Linked DNA regions of Caenorhabditis elegans. The protein of the gene in region 2 purifies or fractionates together with the protein of the main gene of each other region. This does not show direct contact. Each region holds a gene or a part of one and is shown on either strand. Other genes may lie near its edges.

Evidence for each region. The genes of interacting proteins can lie anywhere in the genome.
Region 1: the proteins of cpr-5 (region 2) and asp-3 fractionate together in Caenorhabditis elegans (co-fractionation; one large-scale study listed by BioGRID). This does not show direct contact.

What each region holds. Positions count from the first base shown.
Region 1 is NC_003284.9:6,789,123-6,793,257, reverse strand, and holds asp-3 (Aspartic protease 3), read right to left. Parts: upstream 2,195-4,135; 5' UTR 2,068-2,194; coding exon 2,009-2,067; intron 1,929-2,008; coding exon 1,652-1,928; intron 1,601-1,651; coding exon 1,496-1,600; intron 1,443-1,495; coding exon 687-1,442; 3' UTR 549-686; downstream 1-548. Other genes in the region: sgca-1 (Dystroglycan-type cadherin-like domain-containing protein), read left to right, coding at 3,731-3,881, 3,927-4,025, 4,110-4,135. UniProt on the Caenorhabditis elegans protein: Aspartic protease. Part of the necrosis cell death pathway. Involved in neuronal cell degeneration. Involved in heat stress response.
Region 2 is NC_003283.11:1,132,086-1,135,771, reverse strand, and holds cpr-5 (Cathepsin B-like cysteine proteinase 5), read left to right. Parts: upstream 1-1,735; 5' UTR 1,736-1,817; coding exon 1,818-2,275; intron 2,276-2,461; coding exon 2,462-2,703; intron 2,704-2,751; coding exon 2,752-3,086; 3' UTR 3,087-3,174; downstream 3,175-3,686. Other genes in the region: cpr-8 (Peptidase C1A papain C-terminal domain-containing protein), read right to left, coding at 608-743, 798-1,037, 1,083-1,146.

The DNA of each region.
Region 1 (4,135 bases), on a different chromosome or scaffold from region 2:
AAGAAAGAAGTTTCGTAACTTCTATTTACGCAAAGCATAAATTCACGTATATTTTCCGAGTCACCGGAAACATGCATTGTGTGCGGTCTTCCTTTACAAACACGACATGGTATTGCACAATAATCGCGCGGTTTTTGCGTGCACAAGTGTATATTTCAATAAAATCTAATCGAACATCTCAAATGTCTCTTCTAAGTTGAGGGGAGGAGGATCGGCTAGCAGGAATAGAAGGAATAGAAGGAAGAATGTCAAAAATATAAACAAATTTCTAACAGATTGTTTGTAGCACAAATGTGCCACTATTCTCTTGGAGGATTCTACGGAAAGTGTTCACTAGTGAGATTTAAAACATGTGGAAATGGAGTGTATCAAAGCATTTGAATCATGCTGGAACAAGTGAGAAAAGTACGAAAATTTCTTGCGTCATGAAAAAGTGAGAACCACATGTTTCGCGAAAGCTTTGGATTTTTTGTTTTCTTTGAGTACAGCATAAAATAAAACTCATAAAATTGTGTTTTCCTCCCACCCAATGTAAACTTTGTTATCAAGAAGCCAGTCAGGGTTTTTAGAATTCTTGCAAACGTATAGAAAGAACTGTTTTAGAACTTCTTATCATCACATAACCACATTTATTACAATCAAGCAAGTAATGGCATAGAAATTGAGTTTTTAAATTAGAAATAGGCTTATTTTCCGGTTCTAGAGGTGGCAAATCCAACTCTCTTGTTTCCATGATCGAAGACCGAGTAGAAGCGTCCGATGAAGACGTCTCCGAGAATCCAGAGTGGTCCGGCTGGGGCTGGAATATCCATTCCCATGAATCCAGAGAGGCAGGTGGATCCTCCGTTTCCGTTGGACATTTGAAGGATGTAGTCCTTTCCTTGAAGATCGAAGTTTTGTCCTCCGAGGTTGAAGGTGATGTTTGGAAGAGATGGAATCTTGCTGCACTCAACTTCGTACTCTCCATTGAAGAGTGGGATTCCTCCGATCTTGTGTTGGATCTTCTTGATGACATCAGTTGGTCCAGTGAGAAGGGAAGTTCCAGTGTCAACAATCGAGTCGATTGGTCCGCTGGTGTAGGTGGTTCCATCGATGACAACCGAAGCGAGCTTGATTCTCCAGTAGTCCTCAGAGACGAGTGGCTCCCAAGCGATGTTTCCGACGTAGTGGTTCGGATCGGTGTCGCAAAGGGTAATTTCTCCTCCGTTGGTGATGTCGTTGGCGTCACGGCTAAGCCAGAAAGCGAATAGTTGATTCTTGCAGATGGCGGAGTTGGCGAAGATTTGGTCCATTGGCTGAGAGATCTTGTTAACAGAGATAGTGTCCCATCCCATTCCGAAGATACCGTCAAACTTGGCAGCGACGAAGGTGATTCCTGGCTCAGAAGTAGCACAGGCCAATCCTTGGTTCTTATCAGTACAGTAGGTGGTATCATGTCCGAACTATAAATATATTTTTCAGCTATATTGTAAATAACATCATAAGATTGACTTACGCAGACAACATCGTTGTCAACGGTTCCCTTCATGGATCCAGTTCCGTATTGGATCTCGAAAGAGGCTCCAGTAGCAGTGCAGGAAGAAGACTTCTTGCAATCAAACTGAAAATTATTTTATTGAAAAAAAGTTGATTTGAATACTTCAAAACTAACTCTGTTGTGCATTCTGCAGGCAATATCTCCGAATGGGCAGTTGGCGCATGGCACCCACAAGTTGGAGGATCCAGTATCGAACAAAACTTGGAAGTTTTGTGGTGGAGTTCCAATGGTCACTGGTCCATAGTATTGAGCATTGGAGTAATCAGAAAGACCCTCGTTGAATGCATCCTTGTTTGGAATGTATCCTGGGACGTACTTGGCCTTAAGATGCTCTTGGATTGATCCGAACTTGTATTGTTCACGAGTGTAAGTGCGCTTCTCGAGCTTGATTCTAAAAAAAGAAGAAACATGATAAATAAATAAAATAAAATAATTTAAATATATGAATGGTATATTAAAAATGTAACTAACCTCTGGATGGCAGAAGCCAAGGCGACAAGAGCCAGAAGAAGGAAAACGCGGCCCGACATGGTGCGTTATCACTAATTGAGAAGCAGCGCTCCGGGTTTCTTTTATATGCGACACAAACTCTTGATGATATAATTGTAAACGTCACAACCGATTTTAGTGATAATTAGTAGAGGAGGTTGGCTGGCTGAAAACGGAATTATTTCCTCTCACCGAGTCAAAAGTTTAGATCGGCTATTAAAGTAGTGTACTTTGTGTGTAAAATGAGGGAAAACCATTAAAAAGTGTCCGGGTTGACAAAATGACTTGCTGACAAGGATCCGGATTTTATAGCGTTCTGTTTGCCAAAAGAACACATTAAACTTTTTCCAGCAAAATCATATGTACTTTCAGCAACAAGTCAACACTGCTTTGTCGTCGTCACACCCTCATCGTCATTCTGATCAAAATAACAATTTCAATGGCCTACAATTCAGATTTGTTCTCCCCTATTAAAATATGACTACACTTTAAAATTAGTTCTAGAAAGTTCCACACGTTAAAAATTTAATCGGCTTATTTTCACAAAATATGAAATCATTATCATTATCGTCAAATTGTCTCACAATTTTCGTTACGAAGTAGATAGGGAATACGAAATCAGAATTTGGACATTGGACTAGATGAAATAAATTGAGAACTGTTGCAGTGGTGGAGCAGGTGTGTATACAATTACTAATAATTTTAGAACCTGAAGTAATTTTTATAAATTTGTTTCATTGAACCAAGTATTGAAGTTTTAAGTAGTAAAACATGTGTTACTATAAATTGGCCGAAAGTTTTTTAACAATATTTTTTGTTGGCTTAAAAACACTTATATTAGTCGTGCATGACCAATAATCATAATATAAATATACATACTTCAAAAACTTTTAGATATATATACTTTTAAGTTGAAATTTTGGAAATTATATTGTTTTCCAGCCACTTCCAGAATTATGATAGGTGAAAACTAAGTTTTCTTGAATTTTCGACTGCACAAAAAATTTAAAAAGTCGTTTGAAAAGTTTCACTATAGTCTTAAACCTTTAAACCACAATTTAAATTTCATTTTCACAACGGCCAATACCCAACCTTTGACAAACTCTGAATTCTAGTTTTTTCAACAAAAAAAAGTGTATAAATGACGAAAATGAAAAAACTTTTTGTAGAATGATAAATTATTTCCCAGCCGCTGTGTCAAGGCTAATTAAACAAAATTGAAGTTTTACCTAGCTCTAGTTTTTTTTAATGATTTTAAAAAGTCTAACTTTGAAAAATTTACAATTTTCTTAATATTTACTCTTTCTTTAACAACTTTTTACCTTTTAGATTAAAAATTGTTCACCCCTTTTCTGAATTTCTGAAAGAGAGACTCTCCTGAAACCAAAATTCCAAATAAAGACATTCATATCACGTTTTCTTTCAAGTATCGTTTTTAATGTATATATTCATTATTTTTATCTTAAAAACATTATTGAGACGACATCAATCAACCCCACCACATCAGTTTATCTCATCAAGTTCATCATGCTCTAAAATATCGTCAACAATGATTTCCCCGGCGGGTCTTGTTGGCAGCTTCCCTCAAACCGCCAACCCAGTTGAGCTGTGTAAAAAGCAAAAGTTTGTGCGGACGGCTCAGCGAGCAGCCGTTGTAAAGGATCTCGTTCCACACATCTCTTTCACACAAAATCTTCACTTAAAATGAAAATTCGTTTACTCGATTTTTCGATATTCTCCATTTTGTTGCTATTTCGAACGTCGAAATCATTCAAAGCTCCTACTCACGTGACTGCAACCAAGGGAAAGTTTTTTGTCCACACTCTCCATTCTGCACACTTTTTCCCGAGCACAGGTGCAAACTATTGATCGTTTTTATCAATTGCTCTTTTATTTTCAGTTAAAGTGAAATGGGAAGCTACGCTAAACAAAAAGCCGGCTCTTCCAAACTGGTTACGTCTCTTACCGTCGCGACACCCGGAAATCGCTTATCTAATAGGTGATCGATTAGTTATTAACACACCAGTACATTCATAAAAATAAAATCATCTTATGATTTTTATCGTAGTTATGTATGTTTCAGGCACACCGGTCACAAATGTGCAGCAT
Region 2 (3,686 bases):
TTCCGGCCAAAGTTTTGGCAAATTCCCACAATTTTGAAAAATATGAGTTTTTAAGGAAATCCAAAGCATTGTCGCATATTTCGACCCCTACAATGTTATAATATAAATAATTAAAACAAAATTAAAGTATAAAAAATGTAGGAAAAACATTTTTTTTTTGGTCGACTTCCAAAATTATGAGTGGCAAAAACTGAGTAATTGTCACTTTCTGACAGTAAATAAAAAAAGTTCAAAAATTTTTCGAAACGTTTTATTATGATATTCGGTCATTTTGGCACCATATAAATAGTTTTTAACATTTTCCCCACTGGCGCTACTCCACCTTTAATAAAAAGCACGTCTGCGTTTAATCAAACAATTTTGCAGTTGTTGCACTTTTTTCTCAAATTTGCATCACGCGCCGCAAGAAAATTGATTAAATATACATTTCTCAATGTTGAAAAATTTACGAGCTTTAAAAATTTTGAAAGTTGATAAGATAGAGACTTTTCTTCGCAAACTTTTGTTGGTAGGCAGACACGCCTCCAGGTTTGCCTGCCTGCCTGCCATCCGCTTCTAAATTTTGACAGGATCACTGGACCTGTAGAGACGTGCAACTACACCTCACCCTTCCCCACAGGAAAACATTCCCGTGCAACAACTCAAAAGTTCTTCAGCGGATAAAATGGTATTTTTAAATCCTCCGGAATTAATGCAAAGCCTGTCAGACATTGATTCGGCTGCTGCGAACGCCCAACTTGTCTCTGAAAAATTTAGGCCATTACCGTTCATATTCTGGAATTTAAAGCAAAACTCACTACATTCTGAAATATCGTTGATCTGTGGAATTGACATGCACTCCGGCCAACGTTCTCTCGCATCAAATGAAGGAGATAGATCGGAATTTGCTTGTGACACCCCGAAATTCTGGATTTTGAATCCTATAGTTGCAGCGTCTGTGACAAGAGTTTTCAGCATAGAATTCCGGCTCAGAGCAGGAATCCCAGCAGTCCAAGTAGTTTTTTGCGAATTCACATAATGAATTATCCGGTCAATTTCTGAAAATATTGCTTTCAATCTAGAAATACAATTTGTAAAAAAACCTGAAGGTGGTACTCCATCGGCTTGAAATAGGACTCCGATCAGGCAAATCAATATTTTCCGCATTTCGGGTTAGAAATGATTGATTCAATGCTTTCTTATCATTGATTTGAAGTTGCAAAGTTCAGAAAATTTACATCATATTATCCAAAAAGAAATGCAAGCGGAGCTTATTCGGTGAACAATGATTAACAAAATTGCTTCAAAGTAAATTTTATGCAGCTCTACTAAAATTCATGGATTTTCATAAAATCTGCTTTAATAATTCTGGACTAGGCTTATGCCTACTTTTAAGCTTATTCTTAGGCTTAGGCTTGTGCTTCGGCTTAGGTTTATGCTTAGGCTTAGGCTTAGGCATAGGCTTAGGCGTAGGCTTAGGCTTAGAGTTAGGCTTAGGCGTACGCTTTGGTTTACGCTTATGCTTATGCTTATGCTTTTGCTTATGCTTATGCTTATGCTTATGCTTAGGCTCAGGCTTAGGCTTAGGCATTAAGCTTAGGTATTAGGCTCATCCCTAATTCCTAATCCCCTTAGAATTTTTACAGTATTAAAAAATGTTTACATCAATGATCTATTCCGACAAGTGAAAGTATATTTGGCGCGCGACTCATTTACGTCACATTCCTTTTAATTTTTAATTCTTAAAAAAGATACTGATAAAATTAACTGATAAGAATGATGCGTACCGACTACTTAATGAGCATTAGACGCGAACCTTCGCAGACACTTCTCTCATAATGTGGAAGCTCTCCGCTATTCTTCTCGTGGCTGCTGCCTCGGCTGTGGTGATTCCTGGACACCGTGAAGCCCCAGCTCTCACTGGACAAGCTTTGATCGACTATGTCAACTCTGCCCAAAAGCTTTGGACCGCTGGACATCAAGTCATTCCAAAGGAGAAGATCACCAAGAAGCTGATGGATGTTAAGTATTTGGTGCCACACAAGGATGAGGATATTGTCGCTACTGAGGTCTCCGACGCTATTCCAGACCACTTCGATGCTCGTGATCAATGGCCAAACTGCATGTCCATCAATAACATTAGAGATCAATCTGACTGCGGTTCCTGCTGGGCGTTCGCCGCTGCTGAAGCTATCTCCGACAGAACATGCATTGCCTCCAATGGAGCCGTTAACACTTTGCTCTCATCTGAAGATCTGCTCTCGTGCTGCACCGGAATGTTCAGCTGCGGAAATGGGTAAGGCTCCGATTCTGATTTGAAAACTACGCGTCTACACAAAAACGATAAGAATCGACAAATTCCGTTTATGACAAAATGATCTCTAGCGCCGTAGTTTTAATCTCCAAAATCGAAAGTTCTTGCTGATAAGAACACAGTGATCGGCATGGACTCACAGTTGCTTTCAAAACCATTTTTTTCCAGTTGCGAAGGAGGTTACCCAATCCAGGCATGGAAGTGGTGGGTCAAGCACGGTCTCGTCACCGGAGGATCCTACGAGACCCAGTTCGGATGCAAGCCATACTCGATCGCTCCATGCGGCGAGACTGTGAACGGCGTCAAGTGGCCAGCATGCCCAGAAGACACCGAGCCAACTCCAAAGTGTGTCGACTCCTGCACTTCCAAGAACAACTACGCCACCCCATATCTTCAGGATAAGCACTTTGGTGAGTTTACACGTGTAAGCGGCGCTGGTTAACACTATGAAGTTCTAGGATCTACCGCCTACGCCGTCGGAAAGAAGGTCGAGCAAATCCAGACCGAGATTCTTACGAACGGACCAATCGAGGTTGCCTTCACCGTCTACGAGGACTTCTACCAATACACCACTGGAGTGTACGTACACACCGCCGGAGCCTCCCTCGGAGGACACGCCGTCAAGATCCTCGGATGGGGAGTCGACAACGGAACCCCATACTGGCTTGTCGCCAACTCGTGGAACGTCGCCTGGGGAGAGAAGGGATACTTCCGTATCATTCGTGGACTCAACGAGTGTGGAATCGAGCACTCGGCTGTTGCCGGAATTCCAGACTTGGCTCGTCACAACTAAGGCTGCTATCGGAACTTTTTTAAAATAATTCTTCAGGGAGATTTCCATGTGTATATTATGAAATGATGATAAATATTTTATAATTTGCTATGATATTATTTAAAGTATAACCTCGTTTTTCAGTATCTCTGTAATTGGCTGAAAAAAATTGGCCGGTCGAACTTTTACGAGAAGGGTGGGAGACGGAGCGGATTTGCTCAAAACCGGCCTGACGGCAGCAGACAAACCGCGGACTAGGGAACCCGTGCAGGCTGCCATGTTGCGGACACCTTGCGGCTACCTCCGCCTGCCACGCGCCGCGCCTTTTGTATAATATGGCTCTGAACCCAAAAAGTGAGCGTTGCGTAGACCCCAAATCTTTGATTTCATGCCTGTAGAATTGAAGCGAGGAGGCCCGCTTTCGGTGATCAGGTGTCAGGCAGGCCATCAGACTTTGAACCCGCGCCTGCCTCTTATCGAAACTACAGACGGCTAACTGGCGAACAAAAAGAACAGCCCGGAATGGTCATTGGGCCGATTTTCAGTTAGCCTGTGCTCTTTATTCGAGAAATTATTTGTGAAATTCGCTCTGATTCACTTCCAAACATTTATAGTTATAGG